Linked DNA regions of Saccharomyces cerevisiae S288C. Changing the gene in region 3 together with the main gene of any one other region gives a genetic interaction. Each region holds a gene or a part of one and is shown on either strand. Other genes may lie near its edges. The genes, in order: GLY1, TBS1 and SHM2.

Region 1 (4,648 bases), on a different chromosome or scaffold from region 3:
CCTCGATGTGGAAGTGACGTTGAGTCTCGGTGCAAGCACCGTTAATACCACTGGAGGCCTTGATAGAGTTCCCACCGATCGAGGAAGCCTTTTCGAGGATGGTTACAGGGATGTTATACTTGTTAACCAATTCATTGGCAGCAGCCAGCCCGGCCAAACCGGTTCCAATAACAACAACGGGAGAGAGAGACATTTACAATTACGGATGAGGGGTTGTTGAAGTGAAGATAAGAAAAAAAAATGGGGTGCTATGTCAGCGTATTGTTCTCAGCTTTTATACGTGCAATAGATTAAGCTGTTCAGGAACGCGACGCGTTGCCCCCGTTACCGTTTGAAAAGAAAAAAATTTTCTTTTTCATACCTGTCTCTATTGTTTCAGTCATTCACTGCATGATGACAAATGAAAGAAGAAAGACAATAGTAGTAAAAGCAAAAAAGGAATTAAAGTGAACGTTTTTTAGACTCTTACGCATACATATAAATATATATATATATTTGTATAAAAGGTGTACGTCGAAATCCTGTGAAGAAACCCTGCGAGAATATACATGGGTACATTCAATCTTAATACGTAGTATCGTAGAATACAAAGAAATGTGCTTCTCCACGTGGATACGTACCGTTGTAAACTTTAATCAAGTACCAAAAAAACCAAACATATTCAGTCGATCTCTCAATGGGGAACAAAGAAAAGAGGTTCTTACCTTTTTTTCCTCCTTCCCTCAGAAAGACCACCTTCGTCCCTCCATAATAGGGTAGTTAGTCGCTAGGTGCGCTGGAAACTAACCATTGGTTCTCAAATGTGCCGACATAATTAGTTATAATTATGGTGTGAGAGTTGAAATATCCTTGAATAACAAAACAGAAAAAAGAAAAAACCCATTTGAATATAAAAATCATTGATGCAAAAGAAAGCCGTTAAATCTACAATGCCACGAAATTATTGTAATGTATGAAAAAAAGGAAGAGGGTAGCAATCCTAAAACAAAAACCCTAACAATACACATGATGCAACTGGAACGCATCAGTATTTGTAGGTTTTTATTTCGCGGATAGCGTTGCCATCAACGTCGACCTCGGTGGATTCACTACGGTAAATCTGGGTAGGTCCGTTACAGTCGAAAGGATGTTCTTTAGCATAGTCGAAGGCCTCGGAGATGGCCAATTTGACTTTTTCCAAAGTATCTCTGGTGACTTGATAGTGGAACGAGACTCTACCACCCATTAGCTTAACGTTGTACTTCAAACCCTTCTTAACAAGGACATCTGGGTCCATTCTAGCGGCCTTCAGGTTAATAAAGACAAAGTTGGTGTCTGCTGGAGACTCTAGCGGGATGCCCTTTGCCTCACAATATTCGGCTAATTCATGAGCCAAAGAGTGCGAGTACAGCAATTGGGACTTCCAATCGTTGTTGATGTTTACAAGAGCCATTCTAGCCATCATACCAGATTGTCTAATACCACCACCTTGTTGTTTTCTGAAATGGGTGGCCTTCTTGACAAACTTAAGGTTCCCAACCAAGACGGACCCAATAGGAGCACCCATAGACTTGGATAGACAGATGGAGATGGAGTCGAAGATTTCCCCATATTGCTTTAATGGCACGCCAGATTGTGCAGCGGCATTCCAGATTCTGGCACCGTCACAATGTAGTTTGAGACCATTTTCCATACACCAAGCTTTGATGCGGACCAGTTCTTCCAATGGATAAACAATACCGTGTAAAGTGTTTTCCAGAGAAATCAATCTGGTGGGGGCACCGTGAATATCACCGTCGTCTGGGACGTAGTGTGACTTGATGTCTTCCAAGGTCAAGTAGTCACCGTTGGAAGGAACCACAGGAACCACCATCGCTTGAGACAAGATCGCCAGTCCAGCGGCTTCGTGAGTGTAAACGTGAGCCCTGTAATCACATAGAATAGAGTATGGAGGTTGCATCAAGTGAGTTCTGATGGCAATCTGGTTGGACAAAGTCCCAGAGACACAGAACAAACCTGCTTCTTTGCCAGCCATGCGGGCAACGGTCTGTTCGAGCCTAACGGTGTCAACATCTTCACCGTAGACAGCGTCACCGATAGAGGCCTCTAAAGCGGCCTCCATCATCTCTGCAGTTGGAGTGGTGAATGTGTCTGACCGCAAGTCGTTAGCAGCGGTGATATATTTTGGAGGCAATTCGAATTCAGTCATTGTGTTTATGTTTGCGTTTGTGTGCGGGAGTAAAAGTGAGTGTAAGCCTAGGAAAGGAGGTGGTTACGAACTAGCCAGCGGAAACAATGTACGTATATGTATGTAAGTATTACTCTATACCAGACAGAACAAGATAGACGAGAAGGACACATGGAGGATTTGACAGGCAAGCTCAACACTTGCTTATATATATACACATATGTGCTATTGCAAATGCAAAAAGCGTATATCCAGTGAAGAAAAAGACGAAAAAAGACGAAGAAATAAAAAGAAAAACCGGTGAACGAATATGGCAAGTGAAAAAGTGCGCAATGAGTAATACAAAGGGCGAAGCAGCGGGAAAAAAGAAACGGCGCTGCTGCCCGGAAACCGGAAGCGAAGCTTTGTGGGGTACGGGTGCATGCTCGGCTTTTTCCAGATAGGGGAAGTGCCGTCGCCAAAAAGGCAAGGGTCCGTTTCGCGTGACATTTCATAGCGGGCCAAGCGTGGGTCACGTGCTGCACAGGCCTGCCGCTGGCATGATTTGTCAGCACATATACAACAAGAAGTATTGGTTGCGTTGAAGAAAAAAAGAATAGTAATAACAATTTGGGGCCGTGTGTAAAAAAAATAGGAAACAGCTACCCCGGCGTGCCGTGTGGCTCTCTGTGCGAAGGAAGGCCCTGTCGCCGCACATATTCGATGAATATCGATGACGACGACTACCTTCTGGTTGCATAGTTTATTAGTCTGTGCCTGTTCTTCGGCGAGTGAGTAGATGAAAGAAAGAATGAGTTAGAGAGAATTCTAGGCCAGGTTCGGCTTAGTTAAGCTTAGCTTACTTTGGGTTTACTTAGCGTGCTTTTTTTCTTCCGCGCTGAGACGGTGAGGAATGGAAGTGTAAAGAAGCGAACGAGGGAAAAAAAGTTGTGACCTAGGGGAAGGTTAAAATTGTCATCATCATCAGCGTGAGAAAGTCGAAACAATGAGCGGTAGTAGGGGCAATAGCAGCAATAGTAGCGTCAGTAATAATAGTAATAATAACAATAATAATGACGGGGGCGACGAGAGATTGCTGTTTCTAAGAAGCGTGGGCGAACGCAATGAAATTGGCTTTCCCTCTAGATTCAAGTCGGCGCATTACAAGAAACCGACAAGAAGACACAAATCAGCGAGGCAGTTGATCTCGGACGAAAACAAGCGGATCAACGCCTTGTTGACCAAGGCTAACAAAGCTGCAGAGAGTTCTACTGCTGCTAGGCGACTTGTGCCCAAAGCGACGTACTTTAGCGTGGAAGCGCCACCGTCTATCAGGCCTGCCAAGAAGTACTGCGATGTTACTGGGTTGAAGGGCTTCTACAAGTCGCCTACGAACAACATTCGGTATCACAACGCAGAAATCTATCAGTTAATCGTAAAGCCGATGGCCCCCGGCGTCGATCAGGAGTACTTAAAATTGAGAGGGGCCAACTTCGTTCTAAAATAGGCATTGTATATGTATGTATGTATTTTAGCTTGTAGACAACCTTTCACACTTACATAGTTTGTCGCTGGTCACGTGCGACAATGCAAAATAGTGTAGAGTAAAGCTAAAAAGGACAAGATAAAGTGAAAAAAAAATAATAAAAAAAAAAAAGGAATATTGTTAATGGAAAGCGTGTAAAGACACATTACGCTCCTACCTAGGACTACCAACACATGCATGGATGCCAGTCTCTGTAATAACCACGGTTTTAGCATGTCTGTGGCTCTCTTATAGGCTCTATAAGTTTCTCACTATTCCTGTGTCCAGCATCGTCTCCACTTTGAAGATCAAAACTCCACCGGCAACAAAAGTGTCTATCGACAAAATAGCCACGGATTCAGTGACCATTCATTGGGAGAACGAACCTGTAAAAGCGGAGGACAATGGCAGTGCGGATAGAAACTTCATTTCCCACTATTTGTTGTATCTGAATAACACACAATTGGCTATCTTCCCAAACAACCCAAACTCCCTTTACACATGCTGCTCCATCACGGGTCTCGAGGCGGAGACGCAGTACCAGTTAGATTTTATAACGATTAACAACAAGGGCTTTATCAATAAGCTACCCTCCATTTACTGTATGACGAAGGCGAGAGAGGCGAATGAAGCGTTAAAGACTAGAAAATGGAGAAGAAACACCATCACATCGTCCACAGCTATGCAGCCCAGAAACTCCAAGTCCGAACCCGCCCCGTTGCCCTCTCACTACTCCTCTGTTTCCCTGTCTACTTTCTCATCCAATATTACTAATAGCGCCACCAGCAATAATGGTTCAAATCTACCCGCTTACACATCTTTGACTACGTTGAAGGATTTGGATTCGTTTTCCATCGATGATCTGAAAAAGATACTGATTTGCGCCCAGGAGGACTTACACGATGTGTTGTCCCAACAAACTTCGCTTTTGCAAGATTTTCAAGAATCGAAGTTAGAATTAGAACTAGAACTGGATA
Region 2 (6,596 bases), on a different chromosome or scaffold from region 3:
ATTTCTGTCTCTCCTTTTCTGAATCGACTTCATCGTTATCATCTAAGAGCAAGCACTGCTTGATCAATTCTTCGTTGGTGCTGTAATTGGTGTTAAGTCTCAGCTTCATCGTTTCGTAGTTCTTTGCCACTTGATTAGCTTTGTCGATGTTTTTTATCATATTTTCCTTCTTTGTTTGCAGAACTCGTGCGTCATCTTGGGCATTCCAGGGTTGATCTATCTTGGTAGCTTTCTGCAAATTATTGGCCTTTTTCTTCATAAATAATGGCCTCGGTAAAGGTCTCATATCGTCACTATCGCTCGAATCACTGTTGTCGCTACTTTCTTCACTTTCGGGACTCTCATCACTTTCGGGACTCCCATCACTTTCATTTGATTCTTGGCCATCATTGGGGGTGCGGTTCTTTCCTGTACCATTTAAAATTTCGCCGCCCAAATCACTATGGCTTAATGAGGCTGATTTTTCTGTTAGAGATACGTTTTGGTCTGGATGCTCTTCATCCGCCGAAGAGCTTTCATCTGCTGAGCTTGTGTCAAGTCTCCTCTTGAAATGTCTAAAACTCATCGTATGTGATTCAAATCAGTAACCAAAAAAAATTCTTAATCTAGCGGTGGCGGTAGAAATCTGCATTTGTTCTTTCTTTACTGGGAACAACGAAGAATTGCTTTTCTCAATATATGGCGAAATATTGCATGTTTGCAAAAATTATAAAATGAAATAATGAGCAGCAAGTGGAAAACAGAAAAAAAATCAGATGAAAATATGAAATGGATTAAGAAAATGGCCAAAGAATCTTTCATGTATGGAAAGTTGAAATACAGGATCCCTTTTGCAAATAAAACTTTTCATTATCATCTTAGCGTTATAAATATATATGCGTGCTTTAGAACTATGTACATTTAAAAGCTACTCTGATGGCAAATTTTATGGCGTCAAAAGATTGTATTTTGCTGGCCAACCTTTACCAGCTTTGATATTTCTTAATACAGCGAACTTTTTCGGGAAACGGCAACGTTGGTTCTTCAGGAACAATCAGATGTTCGACAATAGAAGGAACTATGGTTGGAGTTACTCTTCCCAACCAAATTAAGGTATTTGGATTTCGTAAATAAATTTGAACATTTGCAGCAAATTTGTGACCACCAACATGATTAACAAATGCAATTTTGACACCCTCTGCCCTGTAATCCGAATTGTCCCTATACAGCCCATGTTCCTGTAATTTACTGTCAAAAACTTTCTTTAAATAGGGTGCCGTAATCCCGCATCGTTTATCCCTCGTAGTATGTGAACATATAAATACAAATGCACGTTCACGTGCAACGGCAACATTTGGTCGTGTTTCTAGCAATTTCTCTCTTGAAATATTCTCGTCTAATAAGTCAGGAACTAAACCATCCAGCGTTGCTTCGACGTCATCTGATCTAAGGTCGTTCAGCCAAATGAAGTAAGGCAAAATAAGTACATTATTCTTGGTTCCCCGCATAACATCAATATCCATGATATCTTTAGGTAAAGATGAAACTGCACAGTTTAGTGTCTTGCCTGTGCCCACGTTGGAAAATTTAGCTGAATTCTTATCACACCACTGGGAAATTTTATACTGTACTGACTTTGGGTCCTCGAGGCAGGCATCATGCTGCCAATCGATTTGAGAGGTGGGGACAACGAAGTGAATTTTTGGCGTTTTAGAAGAGTTCAACAAAGGAGTTTCATGTTCGATCTTTAGTTTCGCAAAGGCCTGCTCTCCTTCTTCAATTTCTGTTTTGCAATCACCAGAGCAGCTATGTTCGTTAGCAGCATCGTCACTTTTGCATATCTTAATCGATTGAGAAATTTCCTCCCGTCCCTTTGCGCTCAGTTGTGAAGCTTCATCACCACGTTTTTGCTTGAAAATATTCAAAAAAGCCATAATTCAAAGGACAAAGAAGATATCTCTCTCTTGGCCGCCTTCTTGCCTCCTCCGAATATAGCCAAGTACTTTCTTTTCTTATACCTCGAACAGAAAGAAAACCAGTATGTTATACTACTATTCGGTTAGAATTTCAACTTTGCGTTATCATCATATGATCTCAACAATATAAATAGAAGATATCATCAGCGCCAAGAGTGGAACTCTCCCTCTCCTTGCACTTGTTTTAAGAAACTTTTAGCCCTTATTTCCATCTTTATTTCCGCTTTTATTTCCGCAGCACCGGTGAACCCTCTTTTTTATACCTTCAGAATTTTCTTTGCACCTAAAAAGTTCAAATTGCCCTTTAAAAAATATTTATAATACCCTAAAGGGTCCACATTTTCATTTTGACCCTACTCCGCCAGAAAATGTTGATTTATCATGCCTATTTTCAGCCACTGCCCAAAGTCTACTTAAAATAGAGTAAACTTTATATTACGACTACTCTTTTTTAAGTTAACAATGATTACAAGCCCAGCAGGAGTTGTGTGAATGAATATGGATTCTGGTATTACAAGTAGTCATGGAAGCATGGATAAGACACAAAAGCAAAGTTCTGAGTGGGCAGCTAACCAGAAACATAATCAAAGAGTCGAAAATACAAGAGTTTTAATGGGCCCCGCTGTCCCTGCGATGCCTCCAGTACCATCAAATTTTCCGCCTGTTCCAACTGGTACAATAATGTCGCCTCAGTTGAGCCCTTTTCCGGATCACCGTTTAAGACATCACCCATTAGCTCATATGATGCCTGCTGATAAGAATTTTCTGGCATATAACATGGAGTCTTTCAAAAGTAGAGTGACTAAAGCATGTGATTATTGTCGGAAGAGGAAGATTAGATGTACGGAAATCGAGCCGATTTCTGGTAAATGTAGAAACTGTATCAAGTATAATAAAGATTGCACGTTTCATTTCCATGAAGAACTGAAAAGAAGGCGAGAAGAAGCTTTGAATAACAAGGGAAATGGGAAGTCGGTTAAGAAGCCGAGGTTGGATAAGGAGAATAAGTTCAAGGATGAAAATTTTGATATCGCCGTGCGATCAAGAAATACTTCTTCTACAGACAGCTCGCCGAAATTACACACCAACTTATCACAAGAATATATTGGAGTTTCTGCCGGCAAAAGTGCAAGCGATAAAGAAGATACTTGGCCTGACTTTGTTCCTATTGACAGGACAGTGCTTGAAAAAATTGAACTCAACCATACGAAGGTTGCTGGGAAAGTTTTTGTTTTGGAAGAGATTTGTAAAAACATGAAGGGAACAATAGAGAAGCTAGCTGAAAAAAGCAAAATTGACGTCATTGATAAAGAATACATGAAAAGGCCTAAAAGAAAGCAATATTCAAAGGCCTTGTTAACAAAACAAAAAATGTTTCATTTTCGACAAAATGTTTTATCACATTTAACTGACGAAGAATTTCTTTCGCCCATTAATGAAATGTTTACTACTACTTTCAAATATTCTATTTTACAGACCAAGCTGGTCCTGGACTTCTCTTTCCGATCCGCATCATCACCATCTAGTGATAATATTTTGTATCCTCTGCCCCGTTTAGCAATTGCAAAGCGTTTGCTCAAAAATATAAAATGTCCATCATTAGCCTCTCTTCTCCACATAGTGGATGTAGATCAATGTTTGCAATTTGCCGACGTGCACTTTGATCCTGCTAAAGGAAGATTGACATCATCACAGGCATTTTTGCTAAATATCTGCCTCTGCCTTGGGGCCACCGTTACAAATTTTGAGGAGAAGCAGGAGCTAGTTGATGAAGATAATCATGAAACCTATTATTTTGAGAAGTTCGAATTATGGAGACTCAGATCTTTCACTTTTCTCAATTCTGTCTATTACTACCATAAACTGTCTGTAGCACGCGCAGATATGACGGCATTAAAGGCATTACTGTTACTGGCAAAGTTTGCCCAACAAAAAATAAGTGCTTCATCAGCGGTCAAAGTACTATCCGTTGCTATCAAAGTGGCTTTGGATTTACGGCTCAATTTACATTCCACCTATGAGGATCTAGAACTTGATGAAATCATTAAAAGAAGACGCTTGTGGTGTTATTGTTTTTCAACAGACAAATTCTTTTCTGTGGTGTTGTCAAGACCGCCCTTTCTCAAGGAGGAAAACACTGATGTATTAACAGATGAAAGCTATGTTGAACTATTCAGAGATAAAATTCTGCCCAATCTTTCTATAAAATACGATGATTCAAAACTAGAAGGGGTGAAAGATATTGTATCCGTTGTAAACTTACTCGCGAATCACCTTGAATATGTACCATACATTCAATCATATTTTTTGTCGAGATTATCCCTCATAGAGTCTCAAATATATTACTCATGTTTTTCCATCAGAACAACTTTAGACGATACACTAGATGAAATCATTGAAAATGTACTGGAAAATCAAAAGGCGTTAGATAGAATGCGAGACGATTTGCCCACCATATTATCATTAGAAAATTACAAGGAAAACATGAGGATTTTATCTTTGGATTCTTCGAAGTTAGATTTTGAAGTGAGTTGTTGTACTACTATTCTATTACACCTCAGATGGTACCATCAAAAGATAACCCTGAGTTTATTTGTCATATCCATCATTGGAGATAACTTAGATCAACGGGAAAGTTCCCGGCATGATATAGCTGAAATTATTAGAAGGTCAAGATTGGATTTCAAGCGAAATTGCATCGAAGTACTTAATATTTTGAAAGATTTTGAATACTACCCTACTGTTCAGAATGAGTTTCTGTATTTTTCTCTCACAACGGTTTTTTCCATGTTTCTGTATTTGTCAGAGATTATGGTTAATGACGAACATGCCATGGAGACTGGTTATATAATTGGATTATTGAGGGATACACATACCCGTATGCTTGGATCTGAAGAACGCTGTCTTTCAGTACACAATCTGAAGTGGCAAACATCTCTTTTTTTTTACACTTTTTTTCTACGGAGTACGATGGAAAAGTTCAATCTGACAAGTAAATACGCAAAATTCTATGCCTTTGATTCAAATTATTATGAGGGTGTTCTCAATAGGTTAGTTAAGCATACGAGAGAATCAAAAGATGATATGGTCGAGCTCTTGAAAACTTCGTTCATAAATAAAGAGAAGATGGCTGCATTTGGTAGTTTCGTTACAGAGGACCAAGAAAAAATGGAAGTGTCCTTCAATATTTTCAATGAAATAACAATCCAGGATTTGAACTTCTTGCAATTTTCAAGCATTCCGAAATTGTGGGAAAATAAAACTCTTGAGCCAGGCGAGGAATATCATCATAGTAATGGTACCAATACTGATAATAACGAGACTACTGGCGCTGATGATACTGACGATAATAATAATAATAATAATAATAATAATAAAAATGGCAATAATAGTAGTAGTACTATTAATAATAATAACAATAACTACAGTAACAGTAACAATAATGACAATGACAACAATATTAATGATGATGATGATGATGATGATGATGATGATGATGATGATGATGATGATGATGATGATGATGACAATGATGATGATTATAGTAATAATGGTGCTGATGATGATGAAGAAGACGATGACTATGACAGATCTTTATTTCCAACAGGTTTAGCTTCGCTGCTTGATGCGTCATATCCTGAACGTACGGCGAATGATTATAGAGATGAGAATGAACAATCGAATAAATTATTCGAAAAGATTGAAGGCCATTTGGAGCACGGTGTTTTTTTTTACGATCGGGATTTCTTCTTCAAGAATGTGTGTGTAAAAATGTAATATTATATAAAGGACATTCGAGTAATTTAACTAATACATATGCATACGCGCGCGTATGTATTTCAGATACTTAAAAACTTCAAATCACGTATGAAAAACATATTGTTTACTTGAGGCGATTACACAATATCTTGTTTTTGACAAGATTAAGAAGCGAACTAAATAAAGTGAAAATAAAGTCGTTGTCTTAATACTTTAAATTGTCCAAGTTTGGTCCGTTACCAGTAAACTCTGGAAGGATGGCTGCAAATGGCTCATCGATGAATCTCACTGGGTATTTTTCACCGAAGTCGTTCAACTCTTGTAATTCATCCTTTGTCAAAGATGCGAATTCAATACTCGAGGAAATCCTAACTGGATTCAAGGATCTCGGAATTACGATAGTGCCTTGTCTAATATGGTAAGAAATTAGCAAGTCATTTCCTGTGACATTGTACTTTTCGGCAAGCTTTTTCACTAGTGGGATTTTCAAGTTTGGTGCGCCATGGGAACCTAATGGTGAGTATGCTGTTAACAGAATGTCGTGCATAAAGCAGAACTTTCTTAGTTCCATTTGTGGTAAGTGAGGGTGAGTTTCCACTTGGTTCACCGTTGGCTTAACTCTGCATTCCTTAATGAGACGTTCCAAATACTCAATGGAAAAATTTGAGACACCAATGGCTCTCACACGATGATCGTTAGGATCAAGGTAAATTTTTTCCAATTGCTTGTAAGTTTCTAAATAGTCACCGTCGGCAGCATACATTGTTTTTCCAGAATCATCAACCGGAGTCTTCACCAGTCCGCTGATCCCCTTAGGGTCCTTAATCTTTTCAAAACATAGCGGCCAATGTTGCAAGAGCAAGTCGACGTATTCCAAGCCTA
Region 3 (5,007 bases):
ATGCAACTCTGAAAATATCAGAAACCTTGTTGATTGGTAATGGTTTGGCAATGAAGTTGGCATTGGATAATTTCTCACCCTTTGGCAAATTATTGAAACCATAACCGACAGCGGCATCTTCCATTATATCACAAGCGTGCAAAATATCAGGTCTAGTTACCGGAATGTCAACGTGCAAGATGTCCTTGTCTTCCTTTGATTGAACGGCATGCAACGACATCTTCTTTAGACAATGAGCAATTTCATCAGCGGATTGATCTAGGCCAAGACAGGAGTTGATGTACTTAATGGAGACATCCATAATTCTATCGTTGAAGTTTGGCGCCAAACGGGATTGGCCATTGTGTTCAGAGACAATTTCTACAGGCTCAACCGTGAATGGTTCGTCACAATAACGTGAGAACATTGTAGTTAATATGTTCAAAACGATCTCGGCTTTGGTCTTATCGGTGGCGGTTATATCAATCAAAATGTTACGGGTGTTCACAGAGATCTTCGAATGTTCACTATTGATTAATGGTGGCAGGGAGCAAACACGATCTTTGCTGTCCATAATAACTGGGAAGACTGGAGAATCCTCAATAATGTGAACGTATCTCCCTATGTTGTTTTTCTGTTCTGGAGATTTATAAAACTCGATCAATTTGTCACCAGTAAACTCTTGGGTTTGATTCAATGGTACGAACTTGATGTCCTTTGGTGGTAGAGCTCTGTAATGGAATGGACCTTCAATTGAATCTAAATCGTGAGTACCCATGGCAACCAAGCTTCTGTTTCTACATAGATTGGCATGTAATTTATCTTGCAAGGCAATAAAAGAAGCGTAAGATTTTTCGTTAAGCTTGATATTTCTCAATACAGCAGCGGTAGCAAAAGGTCTAATTTGCTCCGTTGATTTGTCGATGATCAACTTAGTGGTTGGCTTGCTTAATTTATAGTCAGGTCTTTCTTTACGTTCCAAGTATTCGTTCAGCGACTGTGAAATACCTTCGATACAAAGCAAATCGTAACGATTGGCACTGATATCAAGCTTCAATTCCGGCTCCTCCCCGGTTTTCAAGGCCTCCTCTGTGGTGTCTTCGTCCATTTCCATACCGAATTCAAAACATAATTCATCGAACTCTTGGGAAGTGTAGTTTTTGCCTAGAAGATCAAATAATTGCTGCTTGTTCACGGAGACGGTAGGCATGCTGGCTCGGTGTTATTGATGTGTGTTATGCTATTCTGCCCTATTTTTTGAACATTTGATCAACTCCAGGCTTTCGAGAAATACATTGAAAATTTTTCATTTCCTTCAATTTTCTTTCTTTTTTGGTACCGATTCTGAATAATCGGTCACCTCGTGTGTCGTGATAAATAATCAAGAAGATGTACTTTTATACAAGGGTTGTAGTCATCTGGGACACTCTCAGAGCACTGGCTCTGACGACAACCATCAAACGCATGCTCATACGTATAATTCAAGCCTTACATACACTGGTATTCCCTTTGGGGTGTTTCTTTTTCCTGTCAAGTTGGGCACTTAAAAGAACTAATAAAAAATCAGTGTGAACTTTTCGATTTGCAAAGAAAATGAAAAAAAAGAAAAGGAGCTTTCACAAATAAACAGAAGAGATCAAGATGAAGTGGTTGTTGTTTCCGGCAAGAATCGTAGCTCGCACTCGCCCAAACCTCTTCTCGCTGTACAGAAGATCCGTTTCACAGTACTTACGTCCTCGAACCATCCAAAACCTGCAATCAATGGCGCAAACACCCGAACTTAAAACCAAGCTGTTCAAACCCTTGGTCTGGATCGACTGCGAGATGACCGGTTTAGACCACGTGAATGACAGAATTATCGAGATTTGCTGCATCATCACCGATGGACACCTGGCACCCGTCAAAGCGGCCGATGGCCAAGGAGACTCGCATTATGAGAGCGTCATCCATTATGGTCCCGAGGTGATGAACAAAATGAACGAGTGGTGTATTGAGCACCACGGTAATAGCGGTCTCACCGCCAAAGTTTTGGCAAGTGAGAAGACTTTGGCCCAGGTAGAAGATGAGCTGCTCGAGTACATCCAGCGCTACATCCCAGACAAGAACGTTGGCGTCTTGGCAGGCAATAGTGTACATATGGACCGCTTGTTCATGGTCCGCGAGTTTCCCAAGGTCATTGATCATCTCTTTTACAGAATAGTTGACGTCAGTAGCATCATGGAAGTTGCCCGCAGACACAATCCCGCTTTACAAGCACGTAATCCAAAAAAAGAAGCTGCCCACACTGCTTATAGTGATATCAAAGAGAGCATAGCTCAATTGCAATGGTACATGGACAACTACTTGAAGCCACCACAGGAAACAGAGTCGGTCGAGTCAATCGGATCTGAACAGCCGGAGTCACCATCTTCATCTACCTCATCTTTGAAAAGACAACGCACCGATTTTTAATGTAGAAAAAAAAAAAGAAAAAAGAAGTGAAATTTTTCAAATATTTCACACACGAAACATGACTCCTGGTGAGAAATGACCCTTTCAGGTTGCTTTGACCATAAAGGTTTGACTCTATCTCTTGGGTTTCTCATGTTCGCTTTTTACTCTGTATAATTTTTAAATTCATAATCATCTTAGACCGAACCATGAGTCTTCTTCATCTTGTTTTATATATAATGCAGAACTTGCTTCCCTTAGTTTGCGTTCAGTAATCTTTCCTTCTTCTAGTGTAACCTTTACGAAAGATACTACCCCATAGCAAAGCATAACAGCTTAAACCGAATCCTCCTTAACATGCCTTACACTCTATCCGACGCTCATCATAAGTTGATCACCTCTCATTTGGTGGACACCGACCCTGAAGTGGACTCCATTATCAAGGATGAAATTGAAAGACAAAAGCACTCCATCGATTTGATTGCTTCTGAAAATTTCACCTCAACCTCCGTTTTCGATGCCCTTGGAACTCCATTGTCCAACAAATACTCTGAAGGTTATCCAGGTGCTCGTTACTACGGTGGTAATGAACACATTGACAGAATGGAAATTCTATGTCAACAAAGAGCTTTGAAAGCTTTCCATGTTACTCCAGACAAATGGGGTGTTAACGTCCAAACTTTATCTGGTTCTCCTGCTAACTTGCAGGTTTATCAAGCTATTATGAAGCCTCATGAAAGATTGATGGGTCTATACCTACCAGATGGTGGTCATTTGTCTCACGGTTACGCTACTGAAAACAGAAAAATTTCTGCTGTTTCCACATACTTCGAATCTTTCCCATACAGAGTTAACCCAGAAACCGGTATTATCGACTACGATACTTTAGAAAAGAACGCCATCCTATATAGACCAAAGGTTCTTGTTGCTGGTACTTCAGCATACTGTCGTTTAATTGACTACAAGAGAATGAGAGAAATCGCCGACAAATGTGGTGCTTACTTGATGGTAGACATGGCCCACATTTCTGGTTTGATCGCCGCAGGTGTCATCCCATCTCCTTTCGAATACGCTGATATCGTTACCACCACCACTCACAAGTCTTTGAGAGGTCCACGTGGTGCTATGATTTTCTTCAGAAGAGGTGTGAGATCTATCAACCCTAAGACCGGTAAGGAAGTTCTATACGACTTGGAAAACCCAATTAACTTCTCTGTTTTCCCAGGTCACCAAGGTGGTCCACACAACCATACCATTGCTGCTTTGGCCACTGCTTTGAAGCAAGCTGCCACTCCAGAATTCAAGGAATACCAAACTCAAGTCTTGAAGAATGCTAAGGCTTTGGAAAGTGAATTTAAGAACTTGGGCTACAGATTAGTTTCCAACGGTACCGATTCTCACATGGTTCTAGTATCCTTGAGAGAAAAGGGTGTTGATGGTGCTCGTGTTGAATACATTTGTGAAAAGATTAACATTGCTTTGAACAAAAACTCTATTCCAGGTGACAAATCTGCTTTGGTTCCAGGTGGTGTCCGTATTGGGGCTCCAGCCATGACCACTAGAGGAATGGGTGAAGAAGATTTCCACAGAATTGTTCAATACATTAACAAGGCTGTAGAATTCGCTCAACAAGTTCAACAAAGCTTGCCAAAGGATGCTTGTAGATTAAAGGACTTCAAAGCCAAGGTCGACGAAGGCTCTGATGTTTTGAACACCTGGAAAAAGGAAATTTACGACTGGGCTGGCGAATACCCATTGGCTGTGTAAAGAAATCACCACAACGACACTTAATCCCAAAAAAATAAACATTACTGTATAAGTATTCATTTTCTCCTCTTCTCATTATGTATATATGTACCTATATGTATGTATGTATGTGCGTACGATTTTTCTAACGTTAACTTCATTTCTTTTTGATTATGTGCCCTCCTTGAGTTAAGATGTGTTTGTCCAGGGAAACCTTGTCACCATCGCTGAATAGTAGCAAATAGTATTTTAATGTTCTGGAGAACCAATAGCTAGGTAAATCATTGTTCACTTTTTCACCGTTTTCATAAAATTCCTTTATTTGCCACAATCCTTTGGCACCACTGTTTAGTTCCATTAATTCTTGCATTAAGATTCCAAAAGACTGCTTACCCATGCTTCTCCATTTTTGTTCTCCACTGATTCTGTACATATAAAATATAGATTCAATGATATTCGAATCCAACAATCTTCTGGATTCTACCTTGTTGACCCAAAATGGCCAGTCTGGATGGTTTTTCCACTGAGAACCCATGGTATCGTCCGTTGTAATATGCGGTTTGATATCCTTACCAAGCGTAAAAACTCTACGTATTTGCGTTACTTCGTCGCCGTCTATTTCAGCAATCGATTTCGAGCTTCCAACAGTATCACCTTTTATGTTTTGAGTCTCTGTTATCCCATCTTTGCTTAGTACATTTCTCTTAGCTTTCTGGTCATTCCCACCTTTCCCATAATTCGAAACTTTGATCCCGACATCTAGGTCATTTTCAAAAGTTTCATATTCGCCGTTGGCAATCATTCGTGATTTAGTTTCGCCGTTAAACTCGCAATTCCCATTAGTCTCATCAG

Evidence for each region.
Region 1: mutations in SHM2 (region 3) and GLY1 impair growth when combined (synthetic growth defect), as found in Saccharomyces cerevisiae (2 studies listed by BioGRID).
Region 2: mutations in SHM2 (region 3) and TBS1 together harm fitness more than expected from each alone (negative genetic interaction), as found in Saccharomyces cerevisiae (2 studies listed by BioGRID).

The regions. Positions count from the first base shown.
Region 1 is NC_001137.3:66,605-71,252, forward strand, and holds GLY1 (threonine aldolase GLY1), read right to left. Parts: upstream 2,189-4,648; coding exon 1,025-2,188; downstream 1-1,024. Other genes in the region: FRD1 (fumarate reductase), read right to left, coding at 1-193; IES6 (Ies6p), read left to right, coding at 3,153-3,653; GTA1 (Gta1p), read left to right, coding at 3,874-4,648. UniProt on the Saccharomyces cerevisiae protein: Catalyzes the cleavage of L-allo-threonine and L-threonine to glycine and acetaldehyde.
Region 2 is NC_001134.8:540,345-546,940, reverse strand, and holds TBS1 (Tbs1p), read left to right. Parts: upstream 1-2,447; coding exon 2,448-5,732; downstream 5,733-6,596. Other genes in the region: U4/U6-U5 snRNP complex subunit SPP381, read right to left, coding at 1-565; APD1 (Apd1p), read right to left, coding at 963-1,913; D-arabinose 1-dehydrogenase (NAD(P)(+)) ARA1, read right to left, coding at 5,920-6,596.
Region 3 is NC_001144.5:257,161-262,167, reverse strand, and holds SHM2 (glycine hydroxymethyltransferase SHM2), read left to right. Parts: upstream 1-2,766; coding exon 2,767-4,176; downstream 4,177-5,007. Other genes in the region: FRS1 (phenylalanine--tRNA ligase subunit beta), read right to left, coding at 1-1,189; REX2 (Rex2p), read left to right, coding at 1,621-2,430; putative mannosidase MNL2, read right to left, coding at 4,313-5,007. UniProt on the Saccharomyces cerevisiae protein: Interconversion of serine and glycine.